Canis lupus familiaris: one gene and its partner. The protein of the gene in region 1 interacts with the protein of each later gene in a biochemical or structural test. Links are inferred from orthologs where the notes say so. Each region holds a gene or a part of one and is shown on either strand. Other genes may lie near its edges.

The links. The genes of interacting proteins can lie anywhere in the genome.
Region 2: of the proteins of H2AX (region 1) and PPM1D, one has a biochemical effect on the other in vitro, tested with the Homo sapiens proteins (3 studies listed by BioGRID and IntAct). The link is inferred for Canis lupus familiaris from reciprocal best matches to the Homo sapiens genes H2AX and PPM1D.

The regions. Positions count from the first base shown.
Region 1 is NC_049226.1:14,789,194-14,794,194, forward strand, and holds H2AX (histone H2AX), read left to right. Parts: upstream 1-2,605; 5' UTR 2,606-2,708; coding exon 2,709-3,140; 3' UTR 3,141-3,297; downstream 3,298-5,001. Other genes in the region: DPAGT1 (UDP-N-acetylglucosamine--dolichyl-phosphate N-acetylglucosaminephosphotransferase), read left to right, coding at 1-25, 366-554, 868-955, 1,116-1,271, 1,354-1,419; HMBS (porphobilinogen deaminase), read right to left, coding at 4,493-4,666, 4,757-4,843, 4,988-5,001. UniProt on the Homo sapiens protein: Variant histone H2A which replaces conventional H2A in a subset of nucleosomes. Nucleosomes wrap and compact DNA into chromatin, limiting DNA accessibility to the cellular machineries which require DNA as a template.
Region 2 is NC_049230.1:35,860,157-35,866,055, reverse strand, and holds part of PPM1D (protein phosphatase 1D), read left to right. Parts: intron 1-3,362; coding exon 3,363-3,591; intron 3,592-5,899. UniProt on the Homo sapiens protein: Involved in the negative regulation of p53 expression. Required for the relief of p53-dependent checkpoint mediated cell cycle arrest.

The DNA of each region.
Region 1 (5,001 bases):
CCTTGGGATTGCTCTACCATAACTGGTAAGTGGGCCATGTGAACATGTAGCAAGTATGGTCCTGTTGGTCCTGACCCAACTCCTGTTGGAGAGGCTAAGCCTGCGCACACCTGTATTGAGTGTTTTCTGGATGCCTAGTTGGTAATATTCTTCAATTACTCTCTACCCAGTTGCAGTTAGAGACAAGTGCTGTGGAGCCCCCAAGAAGAGATGAATTCAGGGCTTTGGGTTCTGGAGGCTTGTTGGAAGATCTGGAGTTTCCTCCGGGCCAGGACTAGAGTCAGGGCTAGTCCAGGGTTCAGGGCGTGTAATATGAGAGAAAAGACTGATAGTGCCTCCTGGCTCAGATCCTCTCCCCCACACAGGTACCCATCACGGGTGTTTGTGGGAGATACCTTCTGTTACTTTGCTGGCATGACCTTTGCCGTGGTGGGCATCTTGGGACACTTCAGCAAGACCATGCTACTCTTCTTCATGCCCCAGGTGTTCAACTTCCTCTACTCACTGCCTCAGCTCCTGCATATCATACCCTGCCCTCGCCACCGCATTCCCAGGTAGCCACTTTGGGGCTTAAAAGGGACATCTTAGCTTTTTCACTTGGGATGCATAAAGCCAGCCTTCTGCATCTGCTGTGTAAGGGGAATGGGCCCAAAGGAGGGCTCTTTCCGTGCAATTAGCCCTTATAAATGACAGAGCACATTCACCCACATAATCTGATCAGCTCTGATCACACAGTGGTAAGCAGAGCCGGAAACAGATCTTCAGGTTGTCTGATTCCACTTTCGGTACTCTTCCTATTAATTGACCGCAGTGTGGAGAGTTCTTGGAGTAGTGGCCCAGTCACATAAAGCTCTCTTCCCCCTGCAGACTCAATACCAAGACAGGCAAACTGGAGATGAGCTATTCCAAGTTCAAGACCAAGAGCCTCTCTTTCTTGGGCAACTTTATTCTAAAGGTAACAGGGTAACAAGGAGGTAAGGCTCTAGGCCACCATCCGGAATTCAGGGCCTGGGGACCCTCGGCTTGCATCAGATCCAAGGGGAGCCTGGAAGCATGAAGCAGATCCCCCATTGCTGAAGCAGAGTTGAAGTTCTCTCCACCTCTGGCCCCTCCAGGTAGCAGCGAGCCTGCAGCTAGTGACAGTGCACCAGAGTGAGAATGAGGATGGTGCCTTCACGGAGTGTAACAACATGACGCTCCTCAACTTGCTCCTTAAGGTTCTCGGGCCCATGCATGAGAGAAACCTGACTCTGCTCCTGCTGCTGCTCCAGGTGTGGTCAGGGAAGGGCTTTGCTGGCTCTGGTCTCCCTTTCTCCATGGCTCTGACTCTGGTGTGTTTCTTTCTCCTCACAGATCCTTGGCAGTGCTGTCACCTTCTCCATCCGGTACCAGCTTGTCCGGCTCTTCTACGATGTCTGAGTCCCCCAATCCTTGCCCTTCACTGCATAGTCTGCAGGGTTCCTGACTCAGGCCTGCCTCTTTCTGGGCCAGGCAAGCTTCCGGGCCCAGGCCTCTCTCACCTCTTACTTTTCTCCAGATTTTGTACTTAGCGATTCCGTTCCGCTGTGATCGACATCCTGGGCCTGTCTTGCCCTGTACTGACTGTTGATTGGACTTTGCCTGTGGCTTTCTTCAACTTGCTGCTCTCCCTCTCTATCCCATCCCTGCGGCCTCCCAAAGTGGGATACTGTGCTTTTTATGCAGTTATCCACCACTCGGACTCTCGAGGAATATGTTGGGCCTGGGGATAGAACCCTGGCTGGGGAGAGGGACACAGGCTCGAAGATCACTTGATTATTTGACCATAAATTAAGTATTCTGATTCGTAAGAGCAGATTGGGGGGCCAGGTGCTCCCAGTGGTGACAATAAAGTGTTGTCTTTTTCTTGGTGTTCCTGTAAGTATATTTTGGGCATTTTAGGGTAGATCGGGAGGATTGGTGGAGGTACCTCCTCCAAGAGGATGCCTATCCCTCTGCCCATCTTTTTTCTTTCAGCACAGTGGGCTCCTTGTAACAAGAAGTCAACAGAAAGAACAGACCAAATAGAACATGTTGAATAAGCCCTGAAATCCTCATACTTCAGGTGGCAGGGAGAGCCCTAAGATTGGACTTGCCTGTTCTCTGGTGCCGAACAGAAGTTTTTAGGGGGAGCAGCGGGAGGGGTTCCCATTTCTTCCCTCTCTCATTTCCCTCTGCAGGATGGGAGGAGGGAGAAAGGAGAGAAGAATGACCAGACCAGGAAGGGAAGGGAGTGGTGTCGACCCCGTTCCTTTAAAAATCCCGGGCCCGCACCGGTTTCCCAGAGGCCCTCGAGGTGGCCCAGACTCCACCCTCTTTGCCTTCCGGTTCTGGGCTCCAGCTGTAGCGTTTAAATCTGGCGCCCTTCGCAAGGATTGGCTACATCGGGGAGGGGTTGGCCGGCTGCGTGCTACCACTCCTCCTCGCCTTTTTCCCCGGGCAAAAGGTTTTCAAATCGGACCAATCGGCGGGCGCGCTGCCTCGGCCGTGGCGCGTCACTGAAGGGTTAACTGCAACCAACCGGAGGCGGGTACCCGAGGAGAGAGCCAATCAGGAGGGCGCGGAGGTGTGCCCTGGGGGCTTATAAGGCCGGCCCCTGGGCGCGCGCGGCAGCAGTTGGACTGCGGCGGGCGGCTGTTCGTTGCCCCCTTCGAGGCGTCCCTCTTCACAGCTCTTCTACCTCGCGCAGCATGTCGGGCCGCGGCAAGACCGGCGGCAAGGCCCGCGCCAAGGCCAAGTCGCGCTCGTCGCGCGCCGGCCTCCAGTTCCCCGTGGGCCGCGTGCACCGGCTGCTGCGGAAGGGCCACTACGCCGAGCGGGTGGGCGCCGGCGCGCCGGTGTACCTGGCGGCCGTGCTCGAGTACCTGACGGCCGAGATCCTGGAGCTGGCGGGCAACGCGGCCCGCGACAACAAGAAGACGCGCATCATCCCCCGCCACCTGCAGCTGGCCATCCGCAACGACGAGGAGCTCAACAAGCTGCTGGGCGGCGTGACGATCGCGCAGGGAGGCGTCCTGCCCAACATCCAGGCCGTGCTGCTGCCCAAGAAGACCAGCGCCACCGTGGGGCCGAAGGCGCCTGCGGGCGGCAAGAAGGCCACGCAGGCCTCTCAGGAGTACTGAGGGGCGCCCGCGCCGCAGCCGGCCCCCATGCCACCACAAAGGCCCTTTTAAGGGCCACCACCGCCCTCACGGAAAGAGCTGAGCCACGTCGGGCTCGGGGCGGGCGGCCGCGGCGCTCGGCTCCCCCCCGCCGCGTCGTCACCGCCGCCGCCGCCGCCCGGCCCGCCCCTCCCCCGCGCGGGCTCGCCTGCCCTCGCTCCCGCCGCCTCCCGGCCGGAGGGCCGCCCGCTCGCCCGGCGCAGGGGCCCGGAGGGGGCCGGGGGCGCGCCGCTGCCCGCCGCGGCGCCAGTGACTCAGCCGCCCGGGCCGCGCTGAGGGCCGCGGGGAGGGCCGCGGGGAGGCCGCGGCGCCGCCTGGAAGAGCCGCTCGGCGCGCTGACGCAGGGCTGAGGTACGCGCCGGGGCCGGGCCGGGCCGGGACTCTCCGGACGCCGCGGTGCGGGGACGACCCGTCACTGTCCGCCCTGCCGCCCCCTCGGCTCGGGCCGAACGCGTCCGCGGGGACCTGCCACCAGGGGGGGAGGGGCGGTGCGCCCCGCGGGCCCCGGGACTGCAGGAGGCGCGCGCCCGCGAACCCCGCCGCCCGGCCCGCTCTCTCCGGCGACCGCTCCGCGGGCCTCGCACCTCCGTACCAGCACCGGCCCGACCGTCCCCATCTGCACTGAGCCTCCGACAGCTTCGGAACTGGAATTTTGCAGCTATCCCCATCCAAGACTAGGACCCTACAGATTGAGGAGTTTCAGATGGACTAATTTTGTTTATTAAAGGATTGTTTTTTTAAAAACGCGGTGTCTGTTGTCATTCTGTACGAGCTGTAACACCCACGACTCTGTAGGCGGGAGGTGTACTGAGGGAGTGGGGGTCAGGGGGACTCGGACCGATGGCCCGCCTGTGGGGCATACACACGGGCTAGCTGGGCAGGGACAAGTCCTAGGCTTCTCCCCCACTTAACTGGGAGGCCATTTGTTGTTGGAAATGAGAACGGCTGTGGCAGGAACAAAGAATGTTCCAGGAGAACTTTGCACAGAGGTCCCAGCCTCGGAAGTAGAGAGCACAAGGTTTTGTGTCCTCTTTCCTGCAACCCCACCAAAAACAAAGTCACCTTCAGAGCTGGTTTATTAGTTGAGTTGGTTACATTCAAAGGCCGTGGCTTGAACTTTCTCTAAAGAGATGAAACCTCCGCCTACTGCGGCAGCAAGGCACTCTTCACAGCCTCAAGGTGAGGCAAGTCTCTGACCTTGCAGTTCAACTCCCTGGGGTGATCACCTCAGTCAGCAGTGAGGATGGGGCACTGAGGGCTGGGAGGTAGGCACTGGACAATAGCCACCCAGACACCGGTGCCCCACAGAGCAGTTAGTGGGCATCATTAAGCTGCCGTGCAACATCCAGTATGTTCTTGGCTCCTTTGTTCAGCAGCAAACTGGCCAGGCTGATGCCCAGGTTCTCAGCAGCCAGCTGGGCTTCTCGTGGAATGTTCCGGGCAGTTATCCCCACCAGCTGCGGATCATCCTCGGGGCCATCTTCATGCTAGGTGAGGGAAGGAGGTGGGACTGGGTGAGCACCAAAGAGGTAACATGCGGGTTTGTTCCTCATTCCCTCACCCTCCAGCTTTGGCACCTGGGCTGTGATGTGGATGGTGGCCTGCATGGTCTCTTGCATGCTATCTGAGCCGTCTAGACTCCAGACTCCTCCAGTCAGGTACAGCTGGCAAAGAAAACAGTTACCTTGGCATATTCTGAAAGAGCTGCTTAGATGAAAACCCAGGCTCTTGTGGGCAAGGCGAGATGCACAGGGACACATGTCACCGTGCTCCCTTGCCTACCCTCCCACCCATCTTCCCCTGCTTACTTGCCCATCCTTCA
Region 2 (5,899 bases), on another chromosome or scaffold:
GGTCATTTAATTGTGTTTTTTTTTTTTTGTTTTTTTTTTTTGTGCTTGGCATCAAAGACCCAAAGTGTGTTTTTGTTTTTGCTTTTTTAAAAATCTTGTCCCAATTCCATGTAATGAAAGTCAGCTTTTTTTTTTTTTTTTTAAGATTTTGTTTATTTCTTTGGAGGGGGAACAAGTAAGGAGGAGGGGCAAAGGGAGAGAGAGAAGCAGACGTCCCACTGAACAGGGGTCCAATGCCAGGCTCCATCCCAAGACCCTGGGATCATGACCTGAACTGAAGGCAGATGCTTAACTGAGCCACCCAGGTGCCCCTGAAAGTCCGTCTTTTCTCCACTGTTCATATATCAGGTGTTTGAGGATGCATGGGTCTGTTTCTGTGCTGACTATTCTGTTCTTTTGGTCCACTAGTTTATAACTTTTCCATAAAGGTCTTGTTAGAAATTTGTTAGCATTGTTCCTAGATACCATATACCTTTTGTTGCTGTTGTGAATGGTATCTTATTTAAGTCACATTTTGTAATTTTTTTTTTTGTTGTTGTTGGTGGTGATTTACAGAAATAGCATGGATTTTTTTTTATATATAACAATGTTTATATTCAGTAACTTTACTGGACCTTATCAATGCCAGTAGTCTATAGATTCTTTTGATTCTTCCACAGATATTTTCTTGGGGGCGGTTTTCTCTTTGTGTACTGCTCTTGATGCCTCTTAGGCTGTTTGTTCTTCATAAATAATGGTTATAACAACAAAAATTAACATTTATCGAGCACTTACTGGGTGTCTGGTACTGTTGCAGATGGTTTTACATGTGTATGTGTATGAATTTCTGACTTCATCAATATTGGTAGCCATTCTGGTTTCCCTCAGCAATTGTGAGGGTCATTATTTCATATACTGCAACTAGCCCTCTGCTGCGAGTAACGGGATTCTGTAGTGTAGATTCTATCTGTAGAATGAGATGAGGAGATGCTTTGTAGGATTCAAGAAATGTCTTTTCAGCATATGTAATAACGTAAAGAAAAGAACTCTAATTAGAATAAATATACTAGAGAAGCCTTGTGGCTATGAAAGTTGTGTGGCACCACATCAGGTTTCTTAGGTCCTATTTCTTCCACCTCATCGCTGTTGAGACCCTGTGGTTTCTATCAACAGATGCATCACTTTGCTTAAAAGAGAAGTATTATAGGTACTGTTAGCATAGGAACTAAAATGTTTCACCTTTTACTGTGTGGAGAGTTTAGGCGCTGACCTAGCTTTTGCAGTTTTAAAATAAATCTGCCAAGCTTATATCATTGATTGCTACCTCAGCCTTTGCCCAATCTCTGAGTTTGAGCTTTTCAGGACTCTGTTACCAGGGAAAACTGATGTATTGCCTTCTTTATGACTGTGCTTTTCACTTATTGGATTATAGATTTTACATTCTGATTTTTCCCTTAATATAATTGTAATTATATTAATTCTTTAAGATTCAAGGGATTCCTCAGATTTGCTTTGACCCTCCTCTGTGTTTCATGACTGCTGTGAACTTTTCTAATATTTATATTCTGTCCTTTCAGTGGGATTTGGTGAGGAGACTATGTCAGTGTTTGGATTCAGTTGGCTGTCTTGAACTATAAATTGTAGTTTGTTTAATATTCCAGAATATTTCAGATTTTTTAAATGACAAATGAATGTAATTAGTCAATATAAGGTTTTAGGATTAAATATATTATATTGGGTCTCTGCCATTTAATATTTGAGTTATCTTAAACAACTTTCTTAACTATTAAAACGATTGATTCCTCATCTGTGAAATGAAAATAATGGGAATAATTTACCTATCTTAGTGGTTTGTTGTAAATATTATTTGAGATAATATATGTAAAGCTCTTAGCACAGAACCTGGTACACAGTAAGTGCTCATAAAAATGTTATTTATTAGATTTTGAATATCCAAAGTAACTATTTCGACAATAAGTAGCTTTTTCTGAGAATCCTTTCTTTTTTTTTTTTTTTTAAGATTTTTATTTATTTATGATAGTCACACAGAGAGAGAGAGAGAGAGAGAGAGAGGCAGAGACATAGGCAGAGGGAGAAGCAGGCTCCATGCACCGGGAGCCCGACGTGGGATTCGATCCCGGGTCTCCAGGATCGCACCCTGGGCCAAAGGCAGGCGCTAAACCGCTGCGCCACCCAGGGATCCCTCTGAGAATCCTTTCAAAGAGAGATTAATAAATGGATGCTAAAATTAACAAGGCAGGAAACAACAAATGTTGGAGAGGATGCGGAGAAAAGGGAACCCTCTTACACTGTTGGTGGGAATGTGAACTGGTGCAGCCACTCTGGAAAACTGTGTGGAGGTTCCTCAAACAGTTAAAAATATACCTGCCCTACGACCCAGCAATTGCACTGCTGGGGATTTACCCCAAAGATACAGATGCAATGAAACGCCGGGACACCTGCACCCCGATGTTTATAGCAGCAATGGCCACGATAGCCAAACTGTGGAAGGAGCCTCGGTGTCCAACGAAAGATGAATGGATAAAGAAGATGTGGTTTATGTATACAATGGAATATTACTCAGCTATTAGAAATGACAAATACCCACCATTTGCTTCAACATGGATGGAACTGGAGGGTATTATGCTGAGTGAAGTAAGTCAGTCGGTGAAGGACAAACATTATATGTTCTCATTCATTTGGGGAATATAATAGTGAAGGGGAATATAAGGGAAGGGAGAGGAGATGTGTGGGAGATATCAGAAAGGGAGACAGAACGTAAAGACTGCTAACTCTGGGAAACGAACTGGGGGTGGTGGAAGGGGAGAAGGGCGGGGGGTGGGAGTGAATGGGTGACGGGCACTGGGAGTTATTCTGTATGTTAGTAAATTGAACACCAATAAAAATAAATTAAAAAAAAAGTTAACAGGGTGAAAGACCTATACACTGAAAACTACAAAATATTGTTGAAAGAAATTTTAAAAGACACAAATAAATGGAAAGATATCCTGTGGGGGGGGGGGAATAAATGGATGCTAAGCTACTGGCTATACAGGTATCAAAACTCTGAACACATCGTCGCCCACTAAATGTAGGTTAGGACTAAGACATGTGGAACTAGTAAATCTGTCCTGTAATATTTTTCTCCTAGGATTTGTTTGATGGTTGTAATATAATTACATTATTTATAAAGTTAATTTATTAATATGTTGATGAAGGAATTAACACAAGTTCTTTTCAAATAGCTTTCAAAATGTTTTTAAATTTTATCCTATGCTAATTCAAGTTTTAACATGCTAATTGTGGACATGTTGCCATTTTTATTCTGATACAATATTAATGTTTATATCTGGAAGAGTAAAATATTTTATTTCTTATTACAGCAGAATGGCCAAAGACAATGACAGGTCTTCCCAGCACGTCAGGGACAACTGCCAGTGTGGTCATCATACGGGGCATGAAGATGTATGTAGCTCACGTAGGTGACTCAGGGGTGGTTCTTGGAATTCAGGATGACCCGAAGGATGATTTTGTCAGAGCTGTGGAGGTGACACAGGACCATAAACCAGAACTTCCCAAGGAAAGAGAACGAATCGAAGGACTTGGTGGGAGGTAATCATTGTGCTGTTTTGTCTTTCCTATCTTGGTTCTATTTAGTTCTTTTCTGCTTTACTAACCAGATTGACCAGTTACTCCTTTTTGATTAATTTCTCAGTATTATAAGTTTTTAATTTGCCTGATGAAGTACCCATCTGCATTCATATTTATCTTGTTAGTTTGAGTTGACTGTTTTCTGATAATAGATCCAGAGGGAAATAATATTTTCATGGGAGTCAAATAAAACACACAAAGATTTATTGATCACCTTTTACATAAATACTGATCATCATGACATTCGGAATCTGGACAGAGTAGCTGTTAGTGTTCCAGAGTAGAACAATTTGAATCTGGCTTTGGGAATAGAATTTTGTTACAATTAATCTTAAGCAGGACGCCTGGATGGCTCAGCGGTTGAGCGTCTGCCTTTGGTCAGGTCCTGATCCCAGGAACCGAGAGATCGAGTCCCACATCAGGGCTCCTTGCAGGGAGCCTGCTTCTCCCTCTGCCTATGTCTCTGCCTCTTTCTCTCTCTATCTCTCTCTCTGTCTCTCATGAATAAATAAATAAAAATCTTTAATAATAAAAAAATTAATCTTAAGGTTTTTTTTCTTTGATTTCTAAGTTAGATATGCTGCAAACCTTTCTTACTATTTTCTTTCTTTTTTTTTTTTGAAAGATTTTATTTATTTATTCATGAAAGACACACAGAGAGAGGCAGAGACATAAGCAGAGGGAGAAGCAGACTCCTTAGGGGGAGCCTGCCGTAGGGCTTTATCCCAGGACTCTGGGAGTATGCCCTTGAGCCACAGGCTCATGCTCAACCACTGAACCACCCAGGCATCCCTCTTACTGTTTTCTTTTGTCTGTTTCAACTTATTGTCTTAATGTGTAATTTGTAAGCTATAAACTAAAAGTGGCTTCAGTATATTTTATGATGCAAACTAAAATGTAAGATTATTGTAAAAATCAGAGGAATGAGTAACATGAGAACATTTTATTTATTTATTTATTATTTATTTATTTATCATGAGAAAATTCAGAAATTATCCCAATACTAAGTTTTAGAAGTTGAAGGAATGAGGCAAGTTAAATAGAATCCAGTATTTTCTAAATAGTTCTTCTAACTAAAGCCTTACCATGATATTATTGCTTGCCTCATTTTTCTTCTATTAAATCAAAATAGACTTTTTCAGAGTATTAGTAAACTAACTGGGGTAAAGAATTTGCATCCTTAACACTGCCACCCCCAGATAGTGAATAAAGAGAGGACTTTGAACAATAATAAAAATGCAAAAGAGTAAAAAAAAAAAAAAAAAAAAAAAGCAAAAGAATAGCAAACATTTGAAAAAAAATTATTGATTTTTTTAAAAGATTTTGTTTATTTATTCATGAGAGATTGAGGCAGAGACATAGGCAGAGGGAGAGGCATGCTTCCTAAAGGGAGCCCATTGCGGGACTCCATCCCAGGACCCCAGGATCATGACCTGAGCCTCACAAGCAGACGCTCAACCAGTAAGCCACCCAGTGCCCCGCAAAAAAAAATTATTAAAATGAAACTGTTTCCTGCTGTTGGGTTAGCAAAATTTTTAAAAAAGAGAAATACTTCTCAATATTTTTGTTGAAATGGGAATCCTGTTGGTAGGATTATAAATTAGTGTGAACAATATAGAATATAATTTATACCCACTAGCTTCAAATGTTTACAGACTCAGTAATTTCAGGAATGTACTCTAAAGAAATATGAAATGTGGACCAGAATATCGGAACAGTGATTATAGCAATGTTTAATGACTGTTAAAGGCTGGAAATACTTGAAGGCCCAACAACTCAAGAATGCTTAAGTATATAATAATATACAAGGAACCTGATGCGGGACTCAATCCTGGACCCTGGATAATGCTCTGAGCCGAAGGCAGGCGCTCAACTGCTGAGCCACCCAGGCGTCCCTGTAGTTTTTTTTTTAATGGTAGCATTCATTTGATTAAAATTTAGGTAGCCTAAAATGATATACTTCAGAAAGTCTCTCAGCTGCTGCTGTTCCACAGGCTTCACAGTTCCCCTCTCCCTCAAAACCCAATATTGTTGTGTAACCTTTCATAGAGAGAGACTCATAATACACAATCAGATATGAAGCTGTACCATATATAGATGTACCATCATTTATTTAACTAGTCTCCTATTGAAGAATGTTTCTGCTTTTTAAGTTTATTTTTTATTTACTATTACAGACATTATTGTAAAATGAAAAATCACGTACAAGCATCTTTTTGTACATACAAGTATATTTGTAAGATCATTTCCTAGAAGGACTTGCTGGGCC